Sus scrofa: one gene and its partner. The protein of the gene in region 2 purifies or fractionates together with the protein of the main gene of each other region. This does not show direct contact. Links are inferred from orthologs where the notes say so. Each region holds a gene or a part of one and is shown on either strand. Other genes may lie near its edges.

The links.
Region 1: the proteins of PTPN18 (region 2) and PSTPIP2 purify together in Homo sapiens (affinity purification with mass spectrometry; 4 studies listed by BioGRID and IntAct, with this or other methods). This does not show direct contact. The link is inferred for Sus scrofa from reciprocal best matches to the Homo sapiens genes PTPN18 and PSTPIP2.

The regions. Positions count from the first base shown.
Region 1 is NC_010443.5:95,723,691-95,730,015, forward strand, and holds the start of PSTPIP2 (proline-serine-threonine phosphatase-interacting protein 2), read right to left. Parts: upstream 4,138-6,325; 5' UTR 4,032-4,137; coding exon 3,999-4,031; intron 1-3,998. UniProt on the Homo sapiens protein: Binds to F-actin. May be involved in regulation of the actin cytoskeleton.
Region 2 is NC_010457.5:31,962,566-31,968,829, reverse strand, and holds the start of PTPN18 (tyrosine-protein phosphatase non-receptor type 18), read left to right. Parts: upstream 1-2,258; 5' UTR 2,259-3,163; coding exon 3,164-3,256; intron 3,257-5,582; coding exon 5,583-5,691; intron 5,692-5,995; coding exon 5,996-6,072; intron 6,073-6,161; coding exon 6,162-6,257; intron 6,258-6,264. UniProt on the Homo sapiens protein: Differentially dephosphorylate autophosphorylated tyrosine kinases which are known to be overexpressed in tumor tissues.

The DNA of each region.
Region 1 (6,325 bases), on a different chromosome or scaffold from region 2:
CCATATGACCACTGGGAGAGCAACAGCACACAGGAGTGTTTGCATCAGGCAAACTCAGTTGGGGTCTCAGTTTTAAAGAACTCTGACTGTTCCCTTTTCAAACAGATCCACCAAAGGTTTCCTTTAAATAATCTTTCCATGGGGCATTTGAAGAAAATTATTTATGAGCATGTGCTGACTCATACCTTTTCAGGAACTTGTACCTATTTGACCATGGGCTACTCCTCTCCCATGGGACATTCCTCTCCTGGCCTGCAATGGCCTCTGTGAGGGTTGAATCCCTAACATCTCTGACTCTCTTCATCTGACCCCTCTCTTCCAATGCTGAAACACAGGTATTCACAAAGACTGCCTCTCTGGGGACCTCTTATCTCTTGATTCTTTCAACTTGAATTGTCACCTCTGTGCTGAAAATAGTTGACAATCACAAGTGCTCACTATGTGCTCAGCACATACCAAATTCTGATTTAATCCTCACAACCGTCCTATAGTGCAGACATTGTTATTATCCTCATTGTTCTACACAGAAAAACGGAGAATGGGAGTTGAAGTAATTTGCCCAAGGTCACCCAGCTATAATGGGCAGATCTGGATTCACACTTGACCAGGCACCACAGAGCTTCTGCTGCTAACTCTTCCGTTGTACTTTATGCTGTCCTATGCACTCTCTTGCCTGGACACCCTTTCCAAGCTGCCAGGGCCATATCTACCAGCTCTCCAAACCTATAATATTGACAACTGAGCACCTGCAACTGATTGTTAAAATATTAGAATGTTCCCAAACTCTGCTGTCTGGCACCCTGTTCCCTCCCTATATCCAGCAACCCTGGCAACGGGCTGGGAGGCTGGTTCAGGGTGCTGCTGGCCTTGGTCCTCACAGTGCTACCCCTGTGGTTAAATATTGTCAATATCACTTTTGCCTCCTCCTCCTCTCCCCACAAACCAGTTCCTCATTTCAACTTCCTTATTTCTGGGGCCCACTCCGCATTCTCCTATTCACCTCACACAGAGCCTCCTCTAAGCCCTGCTTTCCCCTCCCAACTACCCAACAATTGATGACCTTGTCCTATGGCTTTGACTTCTTCTACCCTCTGCCATTCCCCCATCTGTCTCCTCCTGTCCCTTTCCTATGCTTTCCACCCAGGAACAGACCTTGTCTACCCCTGGCCCAGTTTTCTTAGGCCCTGCTGGACTCTCCCATCCCCCTACCCTTTCCTCCTCTACATCCCTGAGGACTGGCATTCAAGGCCAAATCCTGCCCTCCCTGCTGGCTTCCTCATGAGGACTCTACCATCAAACCAAGGGCTGGTCTTACCTCCTACAAATGCCACCTCCACCAGAGCTCATACATAGAAGGTATTTTAAATATTTATTAAATTCAATCAACTGATATCTACTTGTGTTTCCAAAGTTTTCTACCTTATACAATCACAACCTTCTTGTCCTTGAAGCATGAAAATGATTGCCATCCCCTCGATGCTAATAACAGCCCTGCCCGCACCCCCGAGCCCTAAGAGTGTGAGGGTGCCGAAGGTAGGCCCTGAGGCCTTCACCAGTTTCCCTTCTGCTCCTTTTCTCCCCAAATCCAGGCTGACTTTTCCATCTGCCTGATTCCTAAGCATCCATATGCAAAGAACCATTGCAGTGCTGGGGGCTCAGTGGATGGTGGTACCCAGCACAAACCCCAGAGGAGCTCATGGTCAGAGCTGAAAAAAGAAAGATATCCACATCAAGAGTCAAATGATGCCCCCTCATCTACCTCCGGAGGTGTCAAAAGGACATTCACTGAGCACCAGCCTCATCAAAGGCACTCACTGAGCATTTGGTGGATACAGAGTCCTATTTAATAGCTCTACAAACTTGGGAATGTTGCTTAACCCTTCTGCCACTTGGTTTCCTCATCTCTAAAACAGGATAGTCAGTAAGCAGTGGTAGGTGTGAGATGTAAGTCAGATAACAGTTGTGAGAAATAAATGAGTGGTATGTACAAAGTATTTGGAACAGTGTTTGCTACAGACTTATACATAGTAATTTAGCTATTATTGTTTTTTATTATTTGACATAAAGTATTACAGGAAATTAGAGATGGAAGATACCTTTGCAAACTATCTCTTAGGGTCTAATATATTCAGAAATTAAAAGCCAAGAGGGGGGAAAAAAGTATAAACCCAGAAAGGTCTCTCCCCTGGACCTTCACCCAATTTCTAACTCCCAACCTAGGACTCATGTCTCCCTTGGAAAAGACTTGGGGGGTGGGGGCTGCCTGGGAGCCCTCTGAGAGTGGAGGCTGCTGCTGCTCTCATCCCATTACACGCCCTGTCACCCATACAAATCCACTGTAACCATCTGCTGAGAACCACTGTGCATCAGCCCGAGCAAGGGGCAGGGGCACTGAAAGCCAGCACAATACCTGTCCATGAGGTGCTCACATGCTTGTAGGCCCCCAATCTCAAAACCAGAAACTGACAAATGCTATGAAAGAACAGAACATGTGCTTATGGGGGCACCATCACGAAAGGCTTCTCTAAAGAAGGCAGAGGCCTGAAAACTGTGTGTCACATTTTGAGGTGAAAAAGGTAGGTCTTTCTGCCCTGCTTCCCCCCCCACCACCACCACCACCCTGTTACCTAGTCAGGGGACCCCAAAGTCCTATATTCTACACAAATAACTCCCAAGCCTTCTGGAGGGGCCAGCTGCCAGGCTGTTTACCATTTTTGTTTGGTTGGTTGGTTTTTGGGGTGTTTGTTGTTTTGGGTTTTTTTTGTTTTGTTTTGTTTTGTTTGTCTTTTGTCTTTTGTCCTTTTACGGCCGCACCCAGGGCATATGGAGGTTTCAAGGCTAGGGGTCTAATTGGAGCTACAGCTGCCAGCCTACACCACAGCCACAGCAACAACAGATCCGAGCCGTGCATGTGACCTACACCACGGCTCATGGCAACGCTGGATTCTGAACCCACTGATCCAGGCCAGGGATTAAACCCGCAACCTCATGGTTTAGGATTCACTTCCACTGCACCACGACGGGAACTCCATGTTTATCATCTTTGTGAAGCTTCCACCGCTCTGTACCCTACAGGTGGCCAGTGCCCCAGAAGAATCTCAAAAACTCCAGAAAAAGGGGCCTCATAAGGCAAGGTCTAAACTGTGTCCTGGAGGCTACAGGGCCAGGTTTCTCCACCCATAGAGGGCAGAGACCTGCTGGACAGCTATGAAGCTAAAAGGGGGCGAGCAGCGTCCCAAGAAAGAGATGGGGCCCTGTGGCAGCAGTAAGTCAATCTTGAGACATCCTGCTTCTGCCTTAAAGGGATGAGGGTGGTTTCTCCGAATGAGGGGTTACCAACTCTTTCGGGAGTGAGAAGACAGGAGGGAAGAGGCTGGACAGAGGGAGAGGGCAGGCGGACCTGCTGCCTCCTGGCTGGGCTCCATCCTCCGGCTCGGATACCCTGACCAGCTCGCAGGGTTTCACACACGCACCCGCGGGGGCAAAGGCCGGGAGGCGCTCAGGAAACCCGGCTTCAGGACCCGGCAAAGCTTCTGCTAGAGAATCTCTCTATGGTCTGCAGGGGGAAGTCAGGCGCTACCGAGGCCCGGACAGGCTGTGGACCTGGAAAAGTCGACCAGACCCGCGAAGCCCACCCCAGGTTCTCCACCCCACGTGCCCCCAATCCGCTCACGGCGCAGCCTCGGGGGCCACCAGCGACTCTCCCCTGGAGGGTGGCTTCTCCTTTTGGGTCTCGGTTTCCCCAAGAGTGATATGCGGGAGGAATGTCCCGACTCTAAGGTGGCTTCGGCTACACCCAGCCAGCGTGTCCAGGAGCGCGGGCGGCCCAAAGAGGAGCCTGGGGACCCGCGGGCGTGCAGGGGCTGGGGACAGGGCAAAGGGGACGCAGAGGCGCGTCCGCTCAGGTTCTGCCCGCGAGCACCTGACAGGGGGCCAAGGTTCCCCTCAGAGTCCTGGCTCCCGAGCCCGACGTTGGACCACCGGCCCCGCGGACTTACCCAAAAATTCCCCTTGAACAGTGAGCCCGTCATGGCCGGCGCGCGGGGAGCAGGGCAAGTACAGCCGGAGCAGGCGCGCGGGGACCGGACTGTCACAGGCAGTGGACGCCGCTGCCAGACCAGGGATCTAGGCCACGCCCCCGCCGCCGCTTGCCCCGCCCCGCACCCAGCGCCCCGCACCCAGCGCCCCGCACCCAGCGCCCCGCACCCAGCGCCCCGCACCCAGCGCCCCGCACCCAGCGCCCCGCACCCAGCGCCCCGCACCCAGCGCTGCGCGGAGCGGAATGGAGTCGCGGCCCGCAGATTGGAGCTCCGCAGTCAGGCATCAGTTAGTTAGTCCTACATCCCTCTCCTTCGCGAGGCCTTTGAGGATCGGTCCTGTCGCCTCCCCGAATTAGGCCCCATTCCTGCCCACAGCCCCCTTTTCCCTCGACCCAGCTCCTCGCGGAGAAACCCAGGCTCAGCGTGGTGGTTGAAGGAGTCCCTTCCGGATCACAGGTGATCTCGGGGTCCCCACGTCGGATCTGTGAAGCTTGAGCCCTGACAATGCCAGCGGCCGCGTCAAGTGTGCACGCACGCTTCAGCAAGTTAAGTGCAGGATCCCTGAGGGGCCACAGATAAGCCCCTGGGCACATTTTAGTCTAAAAGACATGGAAAAGTCATTGATACCGTTTCCCCTTGACTCCAGGTCCCTCAGTGAGATCCTTACAAGGTGTCTGGGAACTCAGCTCCTTCCCGATCTTTCCCCATTCTCAGGATCCAGACCTAAGACTATTCTCCACCAATCCCACTCCAACAGTAAGAGCCCGAACTTTCCTCTTCCTCCACGCTGCCTCATAAACACCCTCATAAACATAATCCAAGGCAAGTCATCCCTGCATTGTAGTAATATGGCACTCTGGGACAAGTATGGCTCTGTGCTATACTTTCTGATTCAAAACTGAGGCACAAAAAGGCTGATTGCCTTGCCCAAGATCACAGCATATTTAAAAGATGAACAGCTCTGCCCTTCTAAACAGGACAGGAGCCAAAGAGGTCACTCCTGGGACAGATCCACTTAAGGAGAGAAGGATGAAAGTCAAGAATGCCAAGGAGTCCCTGCTGTTGCTCAGTAGTAATGAACCCAACTAGTAACCATGAGGACATGGGTTCCATCCCTGATCTTGCTCAGCGGGTTAAGGATCTAGAGTTGTCAAGAGCTGTGGAGTAGGTCACAGACACTACTGGGATCTGGCATTGCTATGGCTGTAGTGTAGGCCAGCAGCTATAGCTCAGATTCGACCCCTAACCTGGGAACTTCTGTATGTCACAGGTGCGGCCCTAAAAAGACCAAAAAAAAAAGGTGCAAAAATTGAGTGCTCAAGCCCAGCCCACAACCTCAGGCCTGCAGAGGCAAGTTTTGCTTCCCAGGTTCTAGCTTTCTTCAGACACAGTGAAAAGACAATTGCCAGGGTAGTCTGAAGGACAGCTGTAAGGTTCTGCCTGGTAATACCACCCCTAATCCCCACTCCCTCACCCTCACCCCAAGCCCCACCCTGTTTGTAGTAAAATCCCACAGTAGAGTCATCCTCAACAACAAAGATGAGAAGTAGCCTCCAGCTTTGCCTGGGTCACTCAAAGGACATACATCCATTCATCTGGTTGTTCATCTCCTTGCAAAGCAGTCCAGTTAGAAGAAAGAAAGGGAAGCCTGGCAGCACCATCAGAAGCAACAGAGGCCACAGTGGGCACAAGAAGACAAGCTAAACAGCAGGAGTAAGAAATAATGCCAACTGGGGAAGTGCCACAGACAGCATCAAGATTTTTCCTGGAAGTTTTGAATATCTTGGAAAAAATATTTTAAGTACAATTCTAATTGCTAAGTTTTCATTTTTAACATTTTAAAAAATCTCTCATGGGAGTTCCCGTAGTGGCTCAGTGGCTAATGAATCCGACTAGGAACCATGAGGTTGCAGGTTCAATCCCTGGCCTCATTCAGTGGGTTAAAGATCCAGCGTTGCCTTGAGCTGTGGTATAGGTCACAGACACAGCTTGGACTCTGGTGAAGGTCGGCGGCTATAGCTCCGATTAGACCCCTAGCCTGGGAACCTCCATATGCCGTGGGTATGGCCCTAGAAAAGGCAAAAAGACAAAAAAATAAAAACCTTTCATGGTACATAGTGCTTGATTTGCCTGCCTCAGACCTCAAAGATCCCTGAATTTTAACTCTCTTCTACCACCTGGTGGTAATATTGTAAATTGCAAGTGTTTGTCCACGCTTCCAGAAAATATTCCTTATTCATTCCTCATTTACTAAGCTCATCACCTGGACAGGTGTTGTTAGTAAA
Region 2 (6,264 bases):
GTTTCTCCACTGTTAGTTACAATTTCCCCTTTGTGGCATTGGTGCAGGCTGGGTTCTTCACAGCACTGTGAAATCTCCCCTGAGCACCTTCCAGCACCCCATCCATTTGGCTGTATTGGGTGGCCAGTTCATCTAGCACTCTGAGCTGGCAAGCAGGTGGCAAACTGGCAGATGGCATGTGGCCTCTGGAGTGCTCAGGTCCTGTAGGGCAGTGCCAGCTGGTCTTGCAACTCAGGACTGCTGCCAGTAGGGTACACAGAAGGAGCAGTCAGTCCCATTGTAAAAAGGCAGCTTGCAGTTCTGTGGGGGAACAGAAAGGGGCAGCCAGGGCTACTGGAGGAGGTCTTGGGGAGTCTTCCCATCCCCCATATCCAGCTGCGCTGATCAGAGGGCAAGTCAGGAGAGTTTGGATGTTGGAGAGACATGGGAGGGCCAGTGTCAGAAGGGCAGTCTGGAATTGACAGAACGCTAAACCAGCTATAATGTAAAAATTAAAAATCATCAAAAAAAAAAAAAAAAGGCAGGCTGGTTGAACAGGAGGGTATAGAATGGAGAGGTAGACATGCAGCCAGAAAGATAGATACCCAATGCTGGAAGCACAGCAGGTGGATTGAAAGTCTTAGCCACTTCTATTCACAGGCCACTTAGGCAGAAGGATCCCCCAAAAGGCTTGCAGACAGACACATAGCCACCTGGTAAGACAGATTTCCAGGTAGAGTCCTAGGGCGAGACAAACAGACCACAGCAGGACAGCCAGGCAGATTCTTGGACAGGCATCCAGAAAGACCTGTGTCCCTCCCACCCCACTTCCAGCCAGCCAACAGACAATCACTCAAGAACAAACAGAGGGCCCTGCCACTGGACAAAGATGTTACTCAGTGGAGAGACACCCCACTATGCAGTCAACTAGCTAGCCAGACCTTCAGCTTGACAGACTTAAGCTCTGCCAGGAAGACAGACCCAGCCTACAAGAAAGTCAAGCCCTCTGGACAGACAGATGCCCCCCCAAGCCAGGGAGAGAGTAGTCATAATATATCCCATCCTGTTGGGCAGACCCTTAGCTGGAAGTGGAACACAAGATACCCAGCTGGCCAGAACCCTTTTGCTGGGTCAACCACCCTGCCTCCCTGTCACCACCATAGATGATATGGTGGCTCACTGACTCAGTGTTGCCTCTGATCCCCAGATATCACCGGTTTCCAGTGACCATTGCCATCCAATGACATCCACCATGAGCAGGGTCCATAAAGGCCTTTTGTGCTCCCACGGTGGCTCTCCCCCACCCCTTTACTCTGGTATCCACTACCCCCAAGTGACTGCCATTAGTGTCCATGAGGACTCAAAGATTTGGGTCTCTGGCTTCTCCAGTGAGCCTCAAAGTCTGCTGGTATTTCCATGTCTTGCAACCCTGTGTCTCCAGCAGCCATCCAAGAAATCTCTGATCCCACTGACATTCACTATCAGCCCTGAATAGGAGTCCTCGATGACCTTCCCTGACTCTTTTGACACCTCAATTACTTTAACATTCCAAGTCCCAGTGGTTACTTTCAGACTCTGACCTCCCAGTGACCGCTGCTGACATCTATGGATAGTCTGTGTGAATACCTTCAATGAGTTCACTATCAATGTCCATCCTTGGTGATCACTACTGACCCCCTTTGAACTCTCACAGGTGATGGTGATAAACAGTCAACAGTGATTTCTACTAATCGCTCAATGAGAGAAACACTGACCTGCTTTCACCTCAGTCACTTAAACTGGGATCAGAAAACCACAGCCTGCAGACCACCAAAACTTTTGTGACAAAATTTCAGTGCCCACGAAGTTTGCAATACAATCACACTCATTCCTTTACATATGCCTTTACATATTTCACAAGGCATGGCAGAGTTGAGTAGCTGGGACAAGGACAAGGTTTCTTAAAGAACCCAAGCCCTTTAAGAAACAGTTTGCCTGTCCCTGACTTAAACAGCACGCTAATGAACTTTATCCACACCCCTTACCCTTGAGGTGAGGGGTGGATGAGCCCATCTACACTGGCGGGTCCTTGGGAAGGGGGCAGGCTCCTCTCTGCCCTCTCCAGCCTCTCTTAGGGGCTGTATACTAGCTTTCACATTTTTAAAGACCAGAGTGTAGTGCAAATAAAGCTGCTGAAACTGTTCCTGTTGTGGCTCAGCGGCTTGCAAACGGTCTAGTATCCACTAGGATGCATGTTTGATCCCTGGCCTCAGTGGGTTAAGGATCTGGCATTGCAGAGAGCTGTGGTATATAGGTCGCAGACGCAGCTGGGATCTGGATCTCGTTGCTGTGGCTTGGCCTAGGTCGGCAGCCACAGCTTCCATTCCACCCCTGGCCTGGGAACTTCTATATACCGCAGGTGCGGCCATTAAAAAAGCAAAAACAAACCAACAAAAGACACAAACAACTCTTTTAAAAGCGTGGAGAACACCTAGTCCCCTGAACCCACTTCCAGGCCTCGGTACTCATTTTCCAATAAGGTTTATGTGAGTTGAGATCCTCAAATTTGGACTGGATTTTGGCGTCCTCAACTCTTCTTTGCACAACTCAGAAAAAGAAGCAATCTTAAGAAATACAAGGATTCAGCCCCACAGCCCAGGTGCCCGGGTGTCATTTTCCCCTGCGGCTACCTCCCCCGACCTCTCTCGGACCCCGCCGGAGTGCACAACGCGGGACGGTCCCCACGCGGGGTCCGCCAGGCACAAGTTGCAGCTCAAACTAGGCGACCAGCTCCACCCACAGCTGCCGCACCACCCCTTCTCGGATCTGGACAAAACCTAGCTCCCAGGACACCAGGCCGGGTGAAGGTTCGCTGTCATGCATGCCCCGGCGCGGACTCCCGGGTCCGAGGAAGGAGGTGTCCCTGGGATCGTGCGGACTCAGCCAAGCCCGCGCGGTGGCCACAAAAAACGGAAGCGCCGGGGCAGGACAAGTTTTTGGCCCAGCAGCGGGTCCTGGAGCCTGTGGGCGGGGGCGGGGACAGGCTCTGAGGGTCTTTGGCTTAGGGGCGTGTCCTGCCCGTCGCTGCGCACTTCCATTAGCTGGCGAGATTGGAGGCGGGGCCTCGGCATCCTCCCACGGAGTCTACACTAGCTAGGAGCGCGGAGCGCTGCAGCTGGACGGGACCTTGCTGGCCGGCGGCGCCATGAGCCACAGCCTGGACGCGGTGCGGAGCTTCCTGGAGCAGCTGGAGGCGCGGGGCGGCCGGGAGGGGGCGGTCCTCGCCGGCGAGTTCAGCGTGAGTGGGCGAGTGTGGACGGCGGCGCGGGCTTGCCCTGGACGATCTGGACGTTTGTTCTTCTGTGCGCTCTGCTGCGCTTTGCCTCTGTTTCTGGCGTGCAGGGGCGTCTCCTCGCCTCCAGGTCTTTTTCTCTCCCCAGCACCTCTCTCTGTCGCAATCTCTCCCTGTCTTCACCGTCTGGTCCGCAGAGCCCCGGAGGGCGAAGTCCACTGCTGGGCTGGGCGGGGCCGCACACGCCCTCGGGTCCTGGAGCCCTCGCTTCGCTCCCGGAACCATCCCGTTGTTGGGCAGGCTGGGCGGGGGAGGGCGGGCGTGCACCTGTGCTGGACGCGCGACACCCGGCCGCTCCTGATGACCCGGAGGTCACTCCTGTGGTCCTGGGGAAGAAGGGGCTAGGGGAAGAGGAACCAAGAGGCCCCGCTGCGGCAAGGGTGTGGTCACCAGCTCAGATAGGCGCTGTGGCCCCGGGGGGTTTTACCTACCCCCTCTGGCCTCGGTTTCTCCTTGGGTGAGTAGCGGACGTTGATGACTAAACTGACCTGAGGATTAAAATAACCAGTGTGGGTAAAAAGCGCTAAGCACATCCTGAGAGCTCACTTCACAGACGACTTTGTCACTAATGGTAATATTCGAAACTTGACAATGGAGTAATGCAAGCTATACGCATGGAGTGGTGATGCAGTAGCGTCATGGGCATCACATACTACACGTGCTAAGATGTTTTAAATATAACATAGAAACGTGCTGTGCAAATATGTAAACACAATATATGGTGACATATCTCAAATTTAAAAATAAGTTTAACAAATATATGTGTATAAGCATTAATAAATGACTAGATAATCATTAAGTACAATAAAAATTGCTAACAGAATCAAATTAATGAAATTAATACATATAACATCTATAGTGAATCTGTATAAATATGATCATACATTATAATTTTCATAGCATTAAAGTTCATAAGGAGTCCCCATCGTGGCGCAGGGGTTAATGAATGCGACCAGGAACCATGAGGTTGCAGGTTCGATCCCTGGCCTTGCTCAGTGGGTTAAAGATCTGGTGTTGCTGTGAGCTGTGGTGTAGGTCACAGACTCGGCTCAGATCCAGTGTTGCTGTGGCTGTGGCATAGGCAGGCAGCTACAGTGCCAATTAGATCCCTAGCCAGGGAATCTCCATATGCTGCTGGAGCAGCCCTAGAAAAGGCAAACAAACAAACAAAAAGTTCATAAAACAATAGAATAAACAAATACAACATGGAATTTACAAAATAAGCAGTTATTCAAATTCCTAAGTATGTGACAAATAGATAAAAGAAATATACAGATATAAAAATAGATGTTGTATATAACAAATGTGTAATAAACAAAACATGTAATTTATTCAGTATGAAAATGTACATAGTAAATATAAACACATAATACCCAGGTGGTACATGTCATCATGCCCATCTGGGTCTGGGTCCAGTCTGGGACAGTGAGCAGTGCTGAAGACCCCTGTGCAGAAGGCTAGGTGGTGAACAGTGCCAGTTGCTGGAGGCCACCCTCCTGCCAGCAGTCTCCTGCACTCACAGGAATCTTTGGGTCTCCCTAGGCTTTGGTTTTTTCATTTCTACCGATAGTAGAAATATCGGTAGTGGTACCCACTGCACTAGTGTGTCCATGGGATTTAAATGACCTGATGGGTGTAAGTACACTGGGCTTGCACCCAGTGGTGGCTTTGTAGGTGTTCCTTATTATCATGATTATAAATACCTGATGATGATGGTAATACAATTCACTAATTATAAAGATCTAACAGTAGTAAAACAGCTACAGTGTCTAGTTTCACAAGTCATTCATGTACATTGTATATTGTCCTATATATTGTGTATCATCATGTTTTTTATATTAACTACATAATATATTACAATTATTGTTCACAACACAAAGTAATACATTTTGAGTGTACAGGGGTTAGATACTCAGAGGTCTGAGTTCAACACTCACCTCACTCCTGGGTGGGACATTCAGCAAGTCACTCAAACATGTGGTGACTCAACTTTCTCACCTGCACAGTGGATACCTCAATAACAGTACCTACTTCAGAGGGATCTTGCAGATGTCCCTTACACATGTCCCCTCAATGCCCTTACAGAGTCTGGCAAAGAGGAGGCACTCTTGAGTCGCTACAATTATTGAATTTTTATGATGCTGCATTCACCTCTTGTAGGTCACGTGCTGTGTATCCCCGTGAGATCCTCAGTGTCCTAGGACTCTGACCTGGCTCCGCTCTTTGCTCTCTCCTCCCTCTCCTGGGTCTTCTCTTGCTGTCTTCCCTTCAGGACATCCGGGCCCACTCAGCTGCCTGGAAGACTGACGGCGTGCTCTCCACCGAGGCTGGTAGTCGACAAGAGAATGTGAGGAAGAACCGCTACAAAGATGTGCTGCCATGTAAGTCATGGCTGGGAATGGGGGTGAGGCCTTCCCGAGGGGTTGGTGCAGCTCCTAAGGTCCCCACCCCATGGGCAGTCCTGGTATTAGCCCGGATTCCCTGTGTCACCACTGGGCTCCCAGACCTTGCCTCCCAGAGCTCTGCTGTGGCTGCATTTCTCCCTAGCAGCCCATGAGTACACCTCGGTGACATCCCTGCTAGGTATACCATCTGTCCCCTGCTGGCTTTCATCCAGGAGACCATCAGGGCCTTGATGTCCCTGTCACCCCCAAACTCCATGTTTCTCATCTTTCCCGCTGGCAGATGATCAGACACGAGTGATCCTTTCCCTGCTCCAGGAAGAGGGACATGGTGACTACATCAATGGCAACTTCATCAGGGTTAGGCTGGGAGCCGGGGAAGGGGCAGAGGTCGGGGTGGGGGTGGGCGGTATCAGCGGGATCTCCATAGTGAACTTAGCCTCTGCTAGGGCACAGATGGAAGCCAGGCCTACATCGCCACACAAGGACCCCTGCCTCACACCGTGCTAGACTTCTGGCGCCTCATCTGGGAGTTTGGGGTCAAGGTCAGCT